Stegostoma tigrinum: one gene and its partner. The protein of the gene in region 1 purifies or fractionates together with the protein of each later gene. This does not show direct contact. Links are inferred from orthologs where the notes say so. Each region holds a gene or a part of one and is shown on either strand. Other genes may lie near its edges.

The links. The genes of interacting proteins can lie anywhere in the genome.
Region 2: the proteins of smc2 (region 1) and ncapg2 purify together in Homo sapiens (affinity purification with western blotting; 4 studies listed by BioGRID and IntAct, with this or other methods). This does not show direct contact. The link is inferred for Stegostoma tigrinum from reciprocal best matches to the Homo sapiens genes SMC2 and NCAPG2.

What each region holds. Positions count from the first base shown.
Region 1 is NC_081356.1:31,466,144-31,476,894, forward strand, and holds the start of smc2 (structural maintenance of chromosomes protein 2), read right to left. Parts: upstream 5,112-10,751; 5' UTR 4,755-5,111; coding exon 4,587-4,754; intron 2,495-4,586; coding exon 2,345-2,494; intron 772-2,344; coding exon 649-771; intron 1-648. Other genes in the region: dnajc25 (dnaJ homolog subfamily C member 25), read left to right, coding at 10,110-10,397. UniProt on the Homo sapiens protein: Central component of the condensin complex, a complex required for conversion of interphase chromatin into mitotic-like condense chromosomes.
Region 2 is NC_081355.1:138,680,793-138,691,443, reverse strand, and holds the start of ncapg2 (condensin-2 complex subunit G2), read right to left. Parts: upstream 4,179-10,651; 5' UTR 4,069-4,178; intron 1-4,068. UniProt on the Homo sapiens protein: Regulatory subunit of the condensin-2 complex, a complex which establishes mitotic chromosome architecture and is involved in physical rigidity of the chromatid axis.

The DNA.
Region 1 (10,751 bases):
GTGGAGGAGACAGATACAATAACAACATTTGAAAGGTATCTAGATGTGCATATGAATAGAAAGGAATTTGAGGGATATGGGCCAAATGCTGGCAAATGGGATTAAATTTAGGACCTCTGGTCAGTATGGATGAGTTGGACCAATGGGTTCGTTTCTGCGCTGTATAATTTCATTTATGATAGAAATATACAAATTCCCATCTCTAAAGATTACACGCAAGGGCCTATATATGCTTTCCCTTTTACTCTTTCGCAACATGTGGACATCACTGGCTGAGAAATATTGATGATCTCTAAGTGCCCACAAAGGTCAGTGATGATGAGCTGCCTCTTGAATTCTTGCTATTCAAGTGGCAGAGGCACACTTACAGACCTGTTAAGTTGTTCCAGGATCTTGACCCAGTGACAGTGAAGGAACAGAAATGTAGTTCCAAATCAGGATGGTGTGAGGATTGGAGCAGAACTTGCAGATGATGGTTTTCCTAAACAACTACTGCACTTGATTTTCTAGGTGATAACAGTTTGAAGGTGCTGCGGTAGGAGTGTTGGTGAATTAGTATGATGCGTTTTGGTGACAGAAAACAGGTGCTGTTGTGCAATGGTGATGGAGAAAGTGAATGGGTTACAATCCTCTGACATATGTACAAACCTGCATGATAAGGAAATGTGGATTGTTGACATTCAGACCGATTGAACAGAAGAGATCTTGCACTCTGGTGTTGTTTGCATTCACACCATTAATTAAGTACTTGTTTCTCCCACCAATTACCACCTGAAAAATGAATAGTTTTAATTGTTTGGCAGTAAAAAGACAATGATTCCAAAAACACAACACAAACTTTAAAAAAAATACAGAAATGCAGCCACTGGAGAAATTTATTAATCATTGTAAGCAGAGTCTTTCTAACATAGATTACAGAAAGCAGTACGACAAATTCCTCTAACTAGACAGTTTACGCGATTTAATACTTAAAATCTGATTTGAGCAGGCAGATATCAAGTTGAGAATTGCAACTTTTCACATTATTTATTGTCAATTTGTATAATATTATGCTTTACTTCGCACACGAGCACTAAATCATACAAATCTTGTGCCCAATAACCTTTACAAGTTTTCACTGAAGGCAACACATTATGCCATTAGCATGATATAATGAGGACGACGCACTAAATGACAGTATTATGTGTAATGCCAAAGTGAGTGCTGTCCAGTTATTGCCACATTTTTTGACAAGGCAAAAATCTGTTTCATCCTGGCAACAAACACATTCAATCATCAGAAAAGCAATGTCATGATGCTTTTTGAATTCCACAATCAGATTATGTCTGCAACTTTCATGGACTGAAATACTGACTTAAAATGGTACAGCAATCACTTGACTAAGTTTCAATGTAAATCGGACAGCAGACACTCAAACAGAGATGAACATTTTTATCCAAAAGCAAGGAAGACAGTCAACATCCTTCAAGACAGAGGCATGGAAATATTTTCATCTATTTTTATAGCACACCCAATATTTGCACATTGGAGAAGACAGGCCCTGCAATTACCAAGCTTGAAGTTCAATAAACCCAGATATGAAAATACACAAACAATTGCAACCAGCTGGAGAAAATTCTCTGTCTAATGCAAAGAAAAGATGTTAAGTGACACATAGGTTAAAAACAAAAATTAGAACAAAACTCCAAGGAGAATTGAGACTGCTGATATCCAAGACCATAAGTAAATAACCATGGTTTCAGGTTGAAACCTTACTTCAAGGACACTCAAAGTATTTTAGAACTATTTGTTCCTTTCAAGTTTCTTTTGAACAGGACACTATTTTTAACTTTACACACGAGTGTAAGTTTGGTATTGTGTTTTTATTTTTGTCAGGATCAGCAGGTAATAGGAATTGTTCTTTCACTGAAGAAAGTCTTATGATGTACTGCTTACTATTTTAACGGGAAAAAAGATAATAGCCTCATGCTAAAAAAAACCACAAAGCTTTAGTGTGACCAACCAGGGAGGTTGAAATAAAAAATTCTCACCATCTCACCTAGTCGTAACAACTTTGCACAAGAACCTCCCTGGCATTACAAGAGTGTGCAGAGAGCATCAGCTCTGATTCCACAACCGAGGAAGAACAAACTATTATCCTATATGACACTATATGACCTTAACTTGTGCCATATTTGCTTCACCCGCTGAGAATCAATCCCAGTTTGCAGGGGTGAGAATACAAAATGGACCAGTATCCAGTTCAAAAGGCATAAGACAGAAGAGTCAGGAAGAGACTCTTCTGAAGAAGTTTTCATTGTTAACATTGTGGAATATTAAATACGATAGAAATGTTGCAGAGTACCTGTCTCGAGACAGTAATTTCATCATGAGTCTCAAAGCCCAGAGGACTTTGTTTTTTGTCAGAGTTATCAAAGGTAATTGAGACAGTGGCTTTTGTAATCCCTGCTTGCCCATTTTTGTAGACCAAATCCTGCAGGTTGCTGGCTCGCACCTAACAGCAGACAACAAAACAAGGTTGCAATGAAAATTAGCATTAAAATACTCCAAAACCCAAAATGTCTGAAGCATTATATTGATTTCCAATTAAATAGTAGCCTAATATCAATAGTAAAAAGAACATTGGAATCTCAAAGATAATTGGGCTTAGAAAATACTATTAGGATTCTGAGTTAACATGGATTTATGAAAAGGAAATCTTTTTGACAAACTAGTTAAGATTTTATCGAGGATGTAATTCGCAGAATAGACAGAGTGTATTTGGATCTTCAGAAGGCTGTTAATAAGGTGCCATTAAGGAGGTTAGGAATCCAAATGAGATCACATCAGTTTGAAGGAATATACCGGCAAAGATTGAGGAATGATTGACATACAGAACACGGAACAAAATCAAACTGATCATTTTCTGGTTGCGGGAGGTGACTAGTACTACCACGATCAGTGCATGGGTCCCAGATTTCATAGTCTACATCAATAATTCGATGGACACTGAAATTTGCTGTTGACACAAACTAGATGGGAATATAAATGGGAAGGGGATGCAGAGATTTAGACAAGCTGAGTGGACAAGGTCACCACAGATGGAACATCATGTGGGAAAATGTTGTTACTTCACATTTAATTTTTCTACCAAAGTGAATATTTCTTAAATGGTTTCTTAATATTTCTTAAAGATCACTCCAGTCCTTCCTTCCCCCGCTCTCAGCAACAATATACTACTCTCCTCTGATATAGATGTGAATGTACAAGGTGCGGTTAGTAAGTTTGCAGATTACATCAAAATTTTAAATGTATGGACAACAAAGATGGTTACCTCAGAGTACAACAGGATCTTGATTAGATGAGCTACTGGGCCAAGGAGTGGCAGACAGAGTTTAATTTAGGTAAACATGAAATACTGCATTTTGGAAAAGCAAATTGGGGGTAGTATTTATACACTTAAATGGTACAGTCCTGGGCAGCGTTACTGAACAAAGATGCCTTGGAGTGCAGGTTCATAGTTCCTTGAAAGTGGAGTCCCAGGTGGATAGAATAGTGAAGAAGGTGTTTGATATCCTGTTTTTTATTGGTCAGAGCATTGGGTAAGAGAGTTGCGGCTGTACAAGACATTGGTTAGGCCACTTTTGCAATACTGGTATCCCTGATGTAGGAAAGAAGTTGTGAAACTTGAAAGGGTTCAGAAAAGATTTACAAGGATGGTACCATGGTTGCAGTTATTGGGAAAGGCAGAATAGGGTGAGACTATTTTCCCTGAAACATTGGAGGATGATGGGTGATCTTATAGAGGTTTTTAAAAAAAGGAACATGAATAGGGTGTATAGTCAAGGTGTTTTCCCTAGGTAGTTGAGTCCAAAACTAAAGGGCATAGATTTAAAGTGAGAGGGGCAAGATTTAAAATAGACCTCAGGGATAACTTTTTGCACACAGAGGGTGATGAATGTATGCAATGAGCTTCCAGTGGAGGTGGAAGAGGCTGGTACAATTACAACATTTAGAAGGCACAAAAACAGAAGCTGCTGTAAAAGCTCAGCAGGTCTGGCAGCATCTGTGAAGGGAAATCAGAGCTAACGTTTCGAGACCGGTGACCCTTCCTCAGAACTGCCCATTTCTGATTTCTCTTCACAGATGCTGATCTCTTCCAGCAACTTCTATTTTTGTTTCTCATTTACGGCATCCGCAGTTTCCATTTAAAAGGCAGCTGAATGAATAGAAAGTGTTTTCGGAGGGAGACGGGCCAAATGCTGACAAATGGGACTAAATTAATGCGGACGAGTTAGACCGAAGGATGTTTCTGTGTTGTATATCTCCATGACCCACTTCCATCCCCCTCCCCAAAGCAACCTCCTTTGTCCCCTTCCTTCGCACAACTTTACACCATCACCACTATTTCACTTCCTCAACTCAATCTTCCAACACCATCACCCCCTTCCCTTCCTCCTCTGAACCCCCATTTTTTAAAAATCTTTTCTCTCACCACCTAAAGTCCCTTGGGCCGCACTGAACCCTTCACATCCTACACCTTCTCCGATCGCCCCCTTCTCCTCCTAACTTGCGATCCCCATCTTCCCCCCACTTCCCTGTCGAACCTGGGACAAGTTACTGATGCCGAGGAGGAAGCAGATGGAGTCTAAGATGTTGGACTTGCCGCTGCCGTTTAGGCCGGTAATAGCATTAAAGAGCGGATCGAAGCCGTTAATCTCCGTCCGTTGCGCGTAAGACTTGAAGCCGTCGATGATGATGGATTTTATATACATTTTCCTTCACCGTGTTAAATTAAACTAAATCCGGAATTTCACTGCAACTCGGAGAGCTCCGGTTGCCTCCCAGCAGTTTAAATTTTGGCGCCAATCCCTGACCGTTAGTTCAATGGCCTCAGTTGGTTCAGTGGCGCTTTCACCTCAGTACCGCCATGCAATTTTAAGACAGAAAACGCAGCAGCTCAAGATTAATGTAATTATTGCGGCGGATTCCTGGCGTTTGGAGAATAATTAACGATTTGTGGAAAATTGACGATTTAGAGACGGCAGGCGCCTTTCGATGACGTTCCTGCCATGCGGGGCAGAACCCTGCGGTTTCTCTTAAAGGGGCCACGTCTTCACGCCCTAAATCACGTGGTCCCACCCGCGGGTGACAGAGGCCTTTGAAATGTCATCCCCCTCCAAACGTGAGACCCTCACTCGGTAAGGCCCCAGACCCGTAAAGTGGCCTCCTTAGCAGCACGCCGAGGTGAAGTCGATGCGTTCCAGCGAGTGTTCAAACCTCCCCCTCAAACATTTCTGTCTGCCCGACCCATCAAGTAAAACCTGTCCCGAGTGTGGTAAACTCTGCAGATTGGTTAGACTTAACAACCATTTCGCAACCCATTGGACTCAGATGAAAGAAGTGGCGTTCAGTCATGATCTTATTGAACGGCAGAACAAGTTTGAATGGCCTGCTGAGTCCTAAGTTCCACTGAACCATCAAAACATTACGGCACAGAAGGAGACCATTCAGCCCCTTGTGTCTCTGCTGAAAAAAAAACTAGCTACCCATGATCATGCCACTTTCCAGTACCTGATCCAGAACCTTGCAGGTTACACCACTTCAGGTGAATATCCAGGTACCTTGGTTCCTTTAAGGTATAACATTGAACCAGGCCATTCAGCCCAATGTCTGTGATCTGCTGCTTGTATATAAGTAATAATAGAGCATTCAGCTCCAGTAACGACATTTCGGGAAGTATGTGAGGGTGCAGAGCAGGTTTGCAAGAATGATTCCAGGAATAAGGGAATTTAGCGAGTATGTCAGATCGGAAGAACATCTGTTGTTCTACTTCAAGCAAAGGGCATCAAGGGGAGATTTGAGATCAGAGATAATAGGAACTGCAGATGTTGGAGAATCCAAGATAACAAAGTGTGGGGCTGGATGAACACAGCAGGCCAAGCAGCATCTTAGGAGCACAAAAGCTGAGATTTGACAGGTTGAAGATAAAGCAAATCTCACATCTGCGAATGATATAAGGGCATACCATTTTAAGGCTTTAGGCAAAAAATATCCACGGGGATGTGAGAAAGAATGTTTGCTTTTAACACAATTATTGAGTAGTCTTGAATCCCTGCTCCCAAGGGTGCTGGAAGTTGTCATGGTCATTGGGGGATATAAACTTTGCAAAGCTGCACAGACTCATTGGGCTGAATGCCTGTTTTGCTGTAATGACTCTATGAGCCTCCTCCCTCTCATCTTTATCTTCACCTTGTCAATATATCCTTATAATCTTCTTGCCTTAATGTCTATCTGGTGTCGCCTTAAACTCTTATTAATCACTTCAACATTGAAATAATAATGTGAGCCTCTTCTGACATTTAATGGGATAATGGCTGATCTATCCTCAATTCCTTTAACCCATCTCTTCCACATATAATAATATTATTGGCTAAAAAAGCATATCATCACCAAATTTAAAGTGAATAATTTGCTGTTTGTGGAAGAATTCCATACAGCCATATCGGGTCAAGTAACCAAATGCACCGAGAAAAAAGATTGGCTTTAAGGAATATATAAAAGGGGTAAAACTATTGCTTGATATTTATGGACCCTCCTCCTCTTGGATGTGATAGGACTGCAGAGCTTAGGTCTGATCCTTTGGTTGTGGGATCGCTTAGCTCTGTCTATCACTTGCTGCTTATGCTGTTTGACATGCAAGTTATCCTGTTTGATGGCTTCACAGGTTGACACCTCATCTTCAACTATGCCTGGTGCTGCTCTTGGCATACCTTCTTGCACTCTTCTTTGAATCAGGGTTGATCTTTTTGATTGTAATGGTTGAGTGGGGATATGTTAGGCCATGAGGTGACAGATTGTGCTGGTGTACAATTCTGCCGCTGTTGTTGGCCAGCAGCGCCACGTGGATGCCCAATCTTGAGTTGCTGGATCTGTGTGAAGTCTGTCCTATTTATCATGGTGATAGTGCTACACAATGTGATGGAGGTTATTCTCAATGTGAAGGTGGGACTTCATCTGCACAAGGACTGTGTGATGGCCACTCTTACTGATACTGTCATGGATAGATCAGCTGCAGCTGGCAGGTTGGTAAGGATGAGGTCATGTATGTTTTTTTCTCTCATTGATTTCCTCACTGCCTGCCACAGACCCAATCTAATAGCTATGTCCATTAGGACCTGACTAGCTCAATCAGTAGTACTGCTGCTCTTGGTGGTGGACATTGAAATCCCCCAATCACAGTACATTTTGTGCCTTTGCCATCGTCAGTGCTTCCTCCAACTGCTGTTCAACATGGAGGCGGTACCGATTCATCAGCTGAGGGAGGACAGTATGTGGTAATCAGCAGGAGGCCTTGCCCATGTTTGACCTGAAGCTATAAGACTTCATGGGGTCCAGAGTCAATGTTGAGGACTCCAAAAGCAACTCCCTCTCGACTGCATACCTCTGTGCTGCCACCTCTGCTGGGTCTGTCCTGCCAGTGAGACAGGATGTATCCAGGGATGTTGATGGTGGTGTCTGGGACATTGTCTGTAATGTATGCTTCTGTGAGTATAACTATGTCATGCTGTTGCTTAACTAGTCTGTGAGACAGCTCTCCCAATTTTGGCACTAGCCCCCAGATGTTAGCAAGGAGGACTTTGCAGGATCGTTAGGGCTGTTTCTGCCTTTGTCTGTTCCAATGCCTAGGTCAATGCCAGGTGATCTGTCCAGTTTCATTTCTTTGAGACTTTGTCATGATTGGTACAACTGAATGGCTTGCTAGACCATTTCAGAGGGCAGTTGAGAGTCAACCATATTGCTGTGGGTCTGGAGCCAGACCAGGTAAGGACGTTAGATTTCCTTCCCTGATAGGTTTTTCCGACAATTGACAATGTTTTCATGGTGATCAGTAGATGCTTAATTCCAGTTTATGTTTATTATATTCAAATTCCACCATATGCCATGGTGAGATTTGAACCCGGGTCCCTAGAACATTAGCTGGGTTCCTGGATTAACAGTCTAGTGATAATACCACTAGGCCATCGCCTACCCCTGTGATATTTTACGCTGTAGCATAATGTACTTCAACAAAGATTGATATAGCAAATAATGCCATTCTTTCGGGAGGGAAAAGACTACAGATAAATTGAAGTTATGTTCTAGAAATAACATTCTCAAAATGATTAAGCCAATATATCCTACCAGACCTTAACTGGGATGTTCATAGTACCATGAGGGAATCTTTGCGTGCAAAATATATGGCACAATATCTAGTGGGAATTTTCTTTTTATCTTTATTGTCACATTTTGGGATTCCCATCTGTTGTAGCTGGTACAAGGATTCTTAACTTCAGGCACAAGTGGTTTTGTTAGGGATTGAAAGCCAAATATTTCACAAAAGTGGAAATTGTCAGTATCCATTCTAAATGAAAATTGGTCTGGATTTTATAGAATAAAATGAGCCAGCTATTAAAAAGTTATGATAGTAAGGCAAACAAATAGGTTGTTAAATAATCCCAGTTTAAGTTCCGAGCTGTTCTGTTGAAATAATTGGGACCAGCTGAGATGCTGGCCTTTATTTCAAGTGGTCCAAAACATAAATGACTGAAAATTGAAATACGGTGTTGGAAGTCATAGTCAATACAGTGTGGAGCTGGAAGAACACAGCAGGTCACGCAGCATCAGGTGAACATGAAAGTTTTGGATCTGGACCCTTCATCAGGACTGGGGAAAGGGAGCTCAGAAATAGATAAAGGCAGGTGGGCTGGTGTTAGGTGAATGCAGGTAGGGGATGTAGAGTTTGGTCAATTGGAAGGGTGGAGCGGATCGGTGAGAAGTAAGAAGAACAGGTTGTGTCAAGTCAAGGACGCAGGAATGAGAGGGAGGGCTGGACATGGGATGAAGCCAGGGGTGGGGAGACTTTTGAAGCTCATGACTTCTATGTTGAAGCCATTGGATTGTAAATTCCCAAGGTGGAATATAAGGTGTTCTTCCTCCAATGCTCCTGTGGCCTCATTGTGATACTGGAGGAGGCCCAGAATGGACATGCTGCCAAGGGAGTGGGAAGGGGAGCTAAATTACATAAAACACTGGTTAGTTAAACTGCAATTACGCAGCACCTTTATTTTTAAAAAATCTTGGGTTGACTCAAAACATTTACAACTAATCAAGTATTTTGAAGTGTAGTGCTCTTGTAATGTGGGAAAGATTAGCCAACATGTTCACAGCAACGTCCTGTTAAAAACACCAAAATGACCAGAACTCGGTAAACTTAGTGTGAAGCTCGAGGAACACAGAAGGTCACGCAAATGTCAGCTACTGGCACCTGTTCTGAAGAAGGGTCCTAACTCAAAACAACAATTTTCCTGCTTTTCGGATGCTGCCTGTCCTGCTGTGTTCCTTCAGTTCCACACCTTGTTATCTCAGACTCCAGCATCTGCAGTTCTTGCTGTCTCCAAATGACCAGAACTGGTTTTTTTTGTAATGTTCATTGAGGCTAACGGCTGGATAGAACACAGGAGAAACCTACCCTGCAAACCTTTAGAATAGTTCTATCAGATATTACATATTCGTAGAACAGAATATCTGTGAAGTGAATATGTAATATCTGATAGAACTACTCAACATCTCAATGAAAGTTGGTGCATCCAAGTGTAGTCATCCCTCAAAACTATAGAAGTTTTTTTGTGATCAATTCTCTGGAGTAGGGAGCTTGAACTCATAGACTCCTGAAACTGGAATGCAAGTACAGCCTGTTAACATCATGAGATAGCACCATAAGCTTCAATCTTATTAATTATACATTTGGAAAACATTTAAATTGAAATAAGATCTAGGAACAGTTGTTAATGATTTTAAAAACAGGAATCGAAGAAGTATTTTAATGGGCGGAAGATCGCAGGGCTTTACTCGGGGATCGTGAAGGGTAGGAGGAGAAATGATGAGAAACAATGGGCCATTCAAAGGGCTAGTATGGACACGATGGCCTGAACGAACTCACCGTGAAGAACGGTCAGTGACGATTACCCGCGCGAACAAATAGCCGTTAGGGTTTGAAATGATGACGTTCATCATACGCGACCACCAACGTAAGGTGCTGTGCCGAGTTACTGCGCATGTGTGATGACGTTGGTTGCCAGTTCGCTGACATGGCGACGGCGAGCCGCCGGTTTGTAGTGGGGTTGCTGTTTCGACTTTGTGCCGTTTTCTTCACCCTCCTGGGCCAGGTCGATGGCTTGGTGGAAGGCTTGTACTGCGGTGCTGTCTCTTGCTATGATGTCCTTGGAGTGTCGAGGGATGCTGGCAAAAGCGAGATCGCCCGCGCTTACCGCCAGCTGGCCCGGCGCTTCCACCCTGACCGCTACCGGCCCACGGAAGTCGGGGAGAACCCCGAGGAAAAGTTCCTGCTGGTTGCCACCGCCTATGAAACACTGAAGGTGTGGGTTGGGCGCACGAAGCATCTTTTGTGGTGTGGGGCATGTGGGTGCAACAGGAACATTGTTAGAGGATATGAGAGTTGGTGGGAGTGATCTTGGTGGCGTTGATAGTATTGAATAGGCTTGTTTGCAAATGTCAGCTACTGGCAAATGGAAACCTGCATCTCTGATTACTGTGATTTTTAATTTTAAAATGTGTAGGACATTAAATGCTTGGATGAAAAGCAAACTGTTTTGGTCTACATGGAAGAATGGTAACTGTCACTGACAACTTTTCCTAGGTTAACTATTCAAAAACACTTCACGCAAGACTTAGAACTGCTAATCTTATTTCTAAACGCATCATTTGTGCAG
Region 2 (10,651 bases), on another chromosome or scaffold:
AAGATTAGTTCACAGGTTGGTGCAACATTGAGGGCCGAAGGGCCTGTTCTGCGCTGTTTTGTTCTATGTTCTATGGAAAACAGCATGCACCTATTTTCTACAATTTTATAAAGGAACATAAAAGAAAAGCTTTACTGGTGCTCTGCAGGGGACTGATGAGATCACATCTGGAATACTATGTCTTGGCCTACTTATTTGAAAAATAGTTAATTGTTTCAGAGGCATTTCAAATTGATAATGGGAACTGCAGATGCTGGAGAATCCAAGAAAACAAAGTGTGGAGCTGGATGAACACAGCAGGCCCAGCAGCATCTCAGGAGCACAAAAGCTGACGTTTCAGGCCTACACCCTTCATCAAAGAGGGGGATAGGGAGAGCGTTCTGGAATAAATAGGGAGCGAGGGAGAGGCGAACCAAAGATGGAGAGAAAAGAAGATAGGTGGAGAGGAGAGTATAGGTGGGGAAGTAGGGAGGAGATAGGTCAGTCCAGGGAAGACGGACAGGTCAAGGAGGTGGGATGAGGTTAGTAGGTAGGAAATGGAGGTGCAGCTTGAGATGGAAGGAAGGGATGGGTGAGAGGAAGAACAGGTTAGGGAGGCAGAGACAGGCTGGGCTGGTTTTGGGATGCAGTGGGGGGAGGGAATGAGCTGGGCTGGTTGTGTGATGCAGTGGGGGGAGGGGACGAACTGAGCTGGTTGTGGGATGCGGTGGGGGAAGGGGAGATTTTGAAGCTGGTGAAGTCCACATTGATACCATTGGGCTGCAGGGTTCCCAAGCGGAATATGAGTTGCTGTTCCTGCAACCTTTGGGTGGCATCATTGTGGCACTGCAGGAGGCCCATGATGGACATGTCGTCTGAGGAATGGGAGGGGAAGTTAAAATGGTTTGCGACTGGGAGGTACAGTTGTTTATTGCGAACCGAGCAGAGGTGTTCTGCAAAGCAGTCCCCAAGCCTCCGCTTGGTTTCCCCAATGTAGAGAAAGCCACACCGGATACAATAGATACAGCAAACCACATTGGCGGATGTGCAGGTGAACTTCTGCTTAATATGGAAAGTCATCTTGGGGCCTGGGTTAGGGGTGAGGGAGGAGGGGTGGGGGCAAGTGTAGCACTTCCTGCGGTTGCAGGGGAAGGTGCCGGGTGTGGTGGGGTTGGAGGGGAGTGTGGAGCGAACAAGGGAGTCACGGAGAGAGTGGTCTCTCCAGAAGGCAGACAAGGGTGGGGATGGAAAATTATCTTGGGTGGTGGGGTCGCATTGTAGATGGCAGAAGTGTCGGAGGATGATGCGTTGTATCCGGAGGTTGGTGGGGTGGTATGTGAGAACAAGGGGGATCCTCTTTGGGCGGTTGTGGCGGGGGCGGGGTGTGAGGGATGTGTTGCGGGAAATGCGGGAGACACGGTCAAGGGCGTTCTCAACCACTGTGGGGGGCAAGTTGCGGTTCTTGAAGAACTTGGGCATCTGGGATGTGCGGGAGTGGAATGGCTCATCCTGGGAGCAGATGCGGCGGAGGCGGAGGAATTGGGAATAGGGGATGGAATTTTTGCAGGAGGGTGGGTGGGAGGAAGTGTATTCTAGGTAGCTGTGGGAGTCGGTGGGCTTGAAATGGACATCAGTAGCTAGCTGGTTGCCTAAGATGGAGACTGAGGGGTCCAGGAAGGTGAGGGATGTGTTGGAGATGGCCCAGGTGAACTTGAGGTTGGGGTCGAAGGTGTTGGTGAAGTGGATGAACTGTTCGAGCTCCTCTGGGGAGCAAGATGCGGCGCTAATACAGTCATCAATGTAACGGAGAAAGAGGTGGGGTTTAGGGCCTGTGTAGGTGCGGAAGAGGGACTGTTCCACGTAACATATAAAGAGACAGGCATAGCTGGGGCCCATGCAGGTGCCCATGGCCACCCCCTTTGTCTGTAGGAAGTGGGAGGAATCGAAAGAGAAGTTGTTGAGGGTGAGGACGAGTTCGGCTAGGCGGATGAGGGTGTCGGTGGAGGGGGAATGGTCAGGCCTGCAGGAAAGGAAGAAGCGGAGGGCCTTGAGGCCATCTGCATGAGGAATACAGGCGTATAGGGACGGGACGTCCGTGGTGAAAATGAGGTGTTGGGGGCCAGGGAATTGGAAGTTCTGGAGGAGGTGGAGGGTGTGGGTGGTGTCACTGACATAGGTGGGGGGTTCCTGGACGAAAGGGGAGAAAATGGAGTCCAGATAGGTGGAATCAATGTGGACTTCACCAGCTTCAAAATCACCCCTTCTCCCACCGCATCCCACAACCAGCCCAGTTCATTCCCTCCCCCCACTACATCCCAAAACCAGCCCAGCCTGACTCTGCCTCCCTAACCGGTTCTTCCTCTCACCCATCCCTTCCTCCCACCCCAAGCCGCACCCCCATCTACCTACTAACCTCATCCCACCTCCTTGACCTGTCCGTCTTCCCTGGACTGACCTATCCCCTCCCTACCTATACTCTCCTCTCCACCTATCTTCTTTTCTCTCCATCTTCGGTCCGCCTCCCCCTCTCTCCCTATTTATTCCAGAACCCTCTCCCCATCCCCCTCTCTGATGAAGGGTCTAGGCCCGAAACGTCAGTTTTTGTGGTCCTGAGATACTGCTTGGCCTGCTGTGTTCATCCAGCTCCACACTTTGTTATCACTGGACTCATGCCTGGGATGAAGGGCATATTTATTTAGAAACAGATTAGACCAATATCTAATTAGAGTTCAGAAAATGTGATGCGATCTTTTCAAACATACAAGATTTTGAGGCAATTGCACTGGATGCATATGTGGACGACGTTGTTTTCTCTTGGGGTTGAGATCAAAAAGTACAGTTTAAGAATAAGAGGTCATCCCTTTAAGACAAGGATAAGTAAAAATTTCTCTCAAAAGAATTGTTAATGTAGGGACAGATAGTGGGAACTGCTGGCACTGGAGAGTCTGAAAATACAAGGTGTAGAGCTGGATGACCACAGCAGGCCAAGCAGCATCAGAAGAGCAGGAAATCTGACATTTCGGGTCTAGACCATTTCTAAAGAAGGGTCTAGACCCAAAATGTCAGCTTTCCTATTCCTCTGATGCTGCTTGGCCTGCTGTGTTCATCCAGCTCTTACACCTTGTTATCTATGTTAATGCGGGGAGTTCTCTTTCCCTGGAAGGCAGTGAATGCTGGGTGTTCAATCTCTAATAACAACAAAATTAGAGGTTTCAGGAAAAGCTCAGCTGGTTTGGCAGCGTCCGTGAAGAACAAAAAAATCAGTTAACGTTTCAGGTCCGGTGACGCTTCCTCAGAACTGTTCTGAGGAAGGGTCACCGGATCCAAAATGTTACATGTGATCTTTTTTCTTCACAGATGCTGTCAGATCTGCTGAGCTTTTCCAGAAACCTCTTTTTGTTCCTGATTTACAGCATTCGCAGTCCTTTTGGTTTTCAATCTCTAATGAAACTAACAGATCATGCAATGCAAGTTCCTCCCCAAGACTCTCGTTACCCTGACTTGGAAATATGTCACCATTCTTTCAAATGCAGCTGAATTAAAATCCTGGAATACCACTCCTAACCGTGCTGAACATAGCTACAACCCAAGGACTGCAGATATTCAAGGAGGCCACTCACCACCATCTTCTCCGAGGCAATTAGGAATGGGCAATAAATGCTGGCCTAACTAATGACACTCACATCCCTTGAAGGAATATACATTTTTTTTAAAAAATCCCCTGCTCAGTTTTAGTAGCATAGAGCTTTATTGGTTCATTGAAATCAGAATTTACACATTCTTACATGTCAACACCAGCCCTCAAACTCAATCTGTTCCTGTGATACGTTAAATTGCGATTTCTACTGCAGGGAAGATACGCATTTGAAAAACACAAACGATATACAAACACGCAGAAGTTCCTGAGGCACGATCCAATTTACACAAGAAGTCATTTGATACCCACACATACTAAAAACGAGTTACTGAACCTCTGCTCATTCCCCAAGTCGCTCTTGTCACTCGCGGCAGATTGGGACACAACAGTCCTCATGTCCTGAGAACAGAAGTGTATTACACAACCGTTCTTGTTTTTCCTTTTGATCTTACCTGGGAATAAGATGCACCGAAACCAGCGTCACGTTTTTTTTGTATTTTCTTGACGTTTGCCTGCAGAAGGAAAGGGAGCCAAAATGCGCGCGCTATCACCAGCAGACCATCAGTACTGCGCATGCGTGCGTTCAAACCGGGCGCGCGGATGAGGCCCCGCCCCTAACTGTCGCCGGGTGGCTGAGGGAGGCCCCGCCCCTACAAGTCACCAAGCAACACGGGGAGGCTCCGTCCCGAACTGGGAGCTACGTCAATGAAGTGCCTGTGGGGGTAGGGGATGACGTTTCGTGCTGAGACGCTTCATCAGAAAAGGGGGATGGGAAGAAGATTCTGAAATAAATAGGGAGAGAGGGAGAGAGGGGGAGGCGGACTGAAGATAGATAGAGGAGAAGATACGTGGAGGCGAGAGGTGGGATGAGGTTAGTAGGTAGGAAATGGAGGTGCGGCTTGAGGTGTGAGGAGGGGGATGGGTGAGAGGGAAAACAGGTTTGGCAGGTGGGGACAAGCTGGGCTAGTTTTGGGAGTCGGGGGGGAGGGGAAATCCACATTGATACCATTGGGCTGCAGGGTTCCCAAGCGGAATATGAGTTGCCATTCCTGCAACCTACGGGTGGCATCATTATGGCACTGCAGGAGGCCCAGGATGGACACCAGCCCAGCTCATCCCTCCCTCCCTAACCTGTTCTTCCTCTCACCTATCCCCTCCTCCCACCTCAAGCTGTACCTCCATTTCCTATCCACTAACCTCATCCTGCCCCCTTGACCTGTCTGTCCTCCCTGGACTGACCTATCCCCTCCCTACCTCCCCCCCCCCCCCCCCATACTCTCCTCTCCACCTATCTTCTCCTATATCCATCTTTGGTCTGCCTCCCCACCCCCCCCTTCCATTTATTTTAGAATCCTCTCCCCATCCCCCTTTTCTGATGAAGGGTCTAGGCCTGAAACGTCAGCTTTTGTGTTCCTAAGATGCTGCTTGGCCTGCTGCGTTCATCCAGCCCCATGCTTTGTTATCTTGGATTCTCCAGCATCTGCAGTTCCCATTATCTCTGAAGTAGAAGTGTTGTTGTGCTAACCACAGTACAGTGCTTGTAACAAGTTCAAACAAAGCAAACTAGAGAGCTGCTGATAAAAATGACATTCCAGACTGACCATGGCTGAAGCTGGAAGTATGTCTCATTATGCTAACAGAAGCTAATTATCTTGTCATGGTAGATTATTGAATTGAATCATTTGTTGTTGTGTGTATTCAATATAAAATACAATGAAAAGTTTATACTGTCTCTATGAATAGGTGCCATTTTCATTAACCTAAAATAATATGTAAAAAAATAACTTAGAGTCCTCCTTTTCCTTCCCTGCTATTACAGTCCCACTCTGAACTTCACCAGCTGCTCCATTATGTTTAGTTAATTGCTGTGTTGCAAGCACTTATCCCTGTAATACCCCAGTAGTCACTGGCTGACAATTGGAAAATGACCTATTTATTAATACTCTTTGTTTCCTGTCTGCCAACCAGTTCTCCTGCTCCTAAGATGCTGCTAGCTTTCTTGCTCCTAGGATGCTGCTTGGCCTGCTGTGTTCATCCAGCTCAACACCTTGTTATCTCAGATTCTCCAGCATCTGCAGTTCCTATTATCTCCATCCACATCAGTATGCTATTCCTATCCTATATCCTAATTTTATGTGGGACCTTATCTAAAGGCTCTGCAACCACATTCACTTGGTCCACTTATCAACTGTACTCATTACATCTTGAAAAATTCCACTAGATCTTTCAAACATGATTTTCATTTCATAGAGAGGCCCTCATGAAGGCCCTGGTCAAGAAAAAGAAAGGGGCATATGACATGTATAGCCAGCTGAGATCAAGTGAATTAGTGGAGGAGTATAGGATCTGTCGGAGGACACTGAAGGGACGAATCAGGAGGGCTAACTGGCATCAAAAGATGGCTTTGGTAAGGTAACAGAGAATCCCAAGAAATTCTACAAGTACGTGATGGACAAAAGAGTGAATAGGAACACTTAAAGGTTAAGATCAACAAGGTTGTCTGAGTGTGCAGCTGCAAGAGATGGGTGAGATCCTGAATGAATATTTCTAATTAGCATTTACCATCGAGAAAGGTGTAGATGCTAAGAAATTTGGGAAAATAAACAGTGATGTCTTTAAAAGAGTCCACATTATAGAAGAGGAGGTGCTAGAAATTTTAAAATGCATTAAATAGATAAATCCCTGGGACGAGATGAAGTGTATCCCAGGATTTTGTGGGAGGCGAGGGACAAAATTGCAGGCCCTAACAGAAACATTTGTATCATCAATAGCCATGGGTGTGGTATCAGAAGATTGGAGGTGGCTGATATTGTGTCATTATTTAAGAAAGGCAATAGGAAAATGTTTGGTAATTATAGACCAGCAAAAGTCTGTGGTGAGTCAGTTGTTCAAAAGCATTCTGAGGGATAGGATCGACGGGTATTTGAAGAGGCAAGGACTCACCACGGTTAGTCAGCATGGCTTTGTGCATGGGAAATCGTGTTTCATGAATTTGATTGAATTTTTTGAAAGGGTGACAAAGAAAGTAGATGACATTGGTGCAATTGATATTGTCAGCATGGGTTTTAGCTAAGCCTTTGACAAGGTACCACATGGTGGATTGTGGAGTAAGGTTAATTCTCACACTCAGCTAGCTTAATTGGCTTGATGGTAGGAGACAGAGTATGGTGGTAAAGGGTTTTTTTCTCACACTGGAGGCCTGTGACCAGCAGTGTATTAAAGGGATCAGTGCTGGGTCAACTGTTATTCTTCACTTATTTAGCAATTTGGATGAGAATTTTGGAAGTATGGTTAATAGGTTTGTGGATGACATCAAGATTGGTGGTATAGTGGACAGTGAAAAAGGTTATCAAGGAATAAAGCAATGTCTTGATCACCTGGGCTGAGGAATAACAGATGGAGTTTAATTTAGATAAATGGAAGGTATTGCATTTTGGTAGGTCAAATCAGGGCAGGACTTAGAGTCAATGGTAGGGCACTGGGGAGTGTTATAGAACCAAGAGATCGAGGGGTACAGGTTCATAACTGCTTGGAAGTGGAGAGACAAGTAGACAGGGTGGTGACAAAGGCTTTTGACCTGCTTGCTTTCATCAGTCAGTGCATTGAGTATAGGAGTTGGGGCATCTTGTTGCAGTTGTACATGATGGTGATGAGGTCTCATTTGGAGTACTGAATCCAGTTCTGGTCGCCCTACAATAGAAAGGATATTATTAAACTAGAAAGAGTGTGGAAAAATTTAGAAGAATGCTACCTGGACTGGAAGGTTTGCGTAATAGAGAGATGCTGGATAGGCTGGGACTGTTTTTCCTGGAGTGTAGGAAACTGAGGGATGACCTTTTAGAGGTTTATAAAGTCATGAGAAGCATAGACAAGGTAAATAGATAATGTATTTTCCTCTTGGTAGGGGAATTTAAAGCTAGAGGGCATAGGTTTAAGGTGAGAGGGGAGAGATACAAGAGAGTCCAGAGGGATCATTTTTTTCACACAGATGGTCTGGGAAACAGGCTGGTGGAGGCAAGTCCAATTTCGTCATTTAACAAACACTTGAACAGATACATGGATTGTATAGGTATAGAGGAACATAGACAAAATGCAGGCAAATAGAACTAGTTTAATTGTAAAAACTAGTTTAATTGTAAAACAAAAATGGACAAGTTAGGCCAAAGGGCCTATACTCATGCAGTAAACCTCAATGACTGTGAAAAGATAGGAAAAAGAGAGTGTGTATGGATGGGCACTTCTCCGATTGGAGATAAATTGAAGGTGGTGTTCATAGGGATCGGTGTTGAGACCCTTGTTTTTTTTCCTGATTTGGAAATGAGTGTTGATGGCAAAATCTCTAAATTTTGCAGACAATACTAATCTTGGGAAGTATATTGAAGATGATGCTGAGCGACTTCAGGGACATTGACAAGTTGGCCAATTGGGCAGATGCCTGGCAGATAAATTTTAAAAGTGTGAGTTAATCATTTTACAGAAGAAACAGAGACAATACAGGCTCAATGGTACAACTTTGAGGGGAGTACAGGATTAGAGGAAACTTGAGGTTCACAGATTCTCTGAAGCTGGCCAGGCAAGTTGAAATATTTGTGAAGGAGGCTTATCGGAAATTTACTGCAATGATACCAGGAATGAGGAATTTTTGATACAAGGAAAGACTAGTGAAATTGGGCTTATTCTCCTTGGAGCAGAGAATGTTGAAAGGGAACCTTATTGAAGTGTTCAATATTATGAACAATCCTGATAGGGTAAAGTGGATATTTTGTTTCCAGAGTTAGTATTTCAGTAACTAGGGATCATAATTTCAAGATAGTTCAAACGAAGACTGAGATGAGAAGAAGCCTCTTTATTCAGAGAGTTATCTCTCTAACCTTTGATCCCATTTGCCCCAAATGCTATATCTAGTCTCCTCTTGAATACGTTCAGTGTTTTGGTATCAACTACTTCCTGTGGTAATGAACTCCACAGGCTCACCACTCTTTGGGTGAAGAAATGTTTCCTCATCCTAAATCATCTATCCCGAATCTTCAGACTGTAATCCCTGGTTCTGGACATAATCACCATCAGGACCATCCTCCCTGCATCTATCCTGTCCAGTCCTGTTTTTATAAGTCTTTGTGATATCCCCCCTCATTTATCTGAACTCCAGTGAAAACAATCCCAGCCTAGTCAATCTCTCCTCATACGTTAGACCCATCATTCCCAGAATCAGCCTGCTATACCTTCGCTGCACTCCCTTGAGAGTATGAGCATCCCTTCTCAGAACAGGAGACCAAATCTGCACACAATATTCCAGGTGTGGTCTCACCAAGGTCCTGTACAACTGCAACAACATATCCCCGCTCCTGTACCGAACCTCTGGCAATGAAGGCCAACGTACCATTTGCCTGCTTTACCACCTGCTGCACCTTCATGCTTGCCTTCAGTGACTGGTGCACAAGGATACCCAGGCCCTGCTGCACACTGCCCTCTCCCAATTTACAGCCATTCAGGTAGTAATTGGCCTTCTTATTTTTGCTTCCAAAGTGAATAACCTCACATTTATCCAAATTATACTGCATATGCCATTGATTTGTGCACTCAACCAACCTGTCGAAATCATTCTGGATGATCTCTGCATCCTCGTCACAGTTTACTCTCCCACTCAACTTGATATCATCTGCAAACTTGGAGATGTTACATTTTGTTCCCTCATCCAAATCATTAATATATATTATGAATAGCTGGGGTCCCAATACTAATCCCTGTGTCACCTTACTAATTACTGCCTACCATTGTGAAAAGGATCCATTAATTCCTACTCTTTGTTTTGTTCTGCCAACTAGTTTCCTACCTCCACTCCCATGCACTTTAATCTTACACATTAATCTCTTATGTGGGATTTTGTCAAACACTATGTGAAAATCCAAATATACTACATCGACTGGCTTCCCCACATCTACTCTACTAGTTACATCTTCATAGAATTCCGACAGGTTTGTCAAGCATGATTTCCCCTCCATAAATCCATGCTGACTCTGTCTGATCCTGCCACTGCTTTCTAAATGCTCTGTTAAAAGTCCTTGACAATGGATTCAAAAATTTTCCCCGTTACCAATGTTAAACTCACTGGTCTGTAATTCCCTGTTTTCCCTCGACCTGAGGGGCAACCTTTTCACACTGAGAGTGGTTTGTATGTGGAATGAACTGCCAGAGGAAGTGGTTGATCCAGATACAGTAACATCATTTAAAAGACATTGGGACAGGTAGATGAACAGGAAAGGTTTGGAGGGAAATGAGCCAAATGCAGCCAAGTGGGACCGGTTTTATTTGGGAAACCTGGTCAGCATGGTACTAGTTGGACCAAAGGGTCTGTTTCCCTGTTGTCTTAATGACTGAAAATCCACAATTCGTCCGATCATATCACTGCTTTCCACGCGCTCTGCTATTAAATCTTTAGTAATGGACACCAGTATTTTCCCTGCATCTGATACAGAGGAAAACAAAATAATAGTGTTACAGCATTACAGCCAGCCTAAAGTATACTGAAATGTTTTGTTAATCCCTTTGTAACCCTGCCTGTATGTGATTGTGGTTTCCAATAAAGTAAGCATTTTCCCAGAAAGAGTCACTGTCATCATAGAAGATATTTTAAAAATCTCCCCTTAATAACATTACAATAATTAATGATAATATTCCTTAGATGTTTTCAATGAAGACTTGAATTTATTTTCTATAACATGGATTCTGGATATTTTAAGTGAGACATGGTGAGCGAAGATTGCAGTTTTGCTATCTTGGCTACAGGTTTTTCACAGATTGCAAAGAAAGGCATTAAAACAAAATTAGCAGCCTACTTTCAGAGCAAGAAAAAAATCAGGTGGAGAAGTTGTGACTTTCCTGGAAAGAGATGGTACGTTTCATTTTTTGTATTCTGTTACTCGGGAGTTGTGTAAATTGGGAGCAATTTGTGGTAAATAAACTTGAATGAAATTATCAGTTACCATTAAAAATTTGCGAGCAAGTGCTCATGAAGAGAACACGAAACTTAAAATG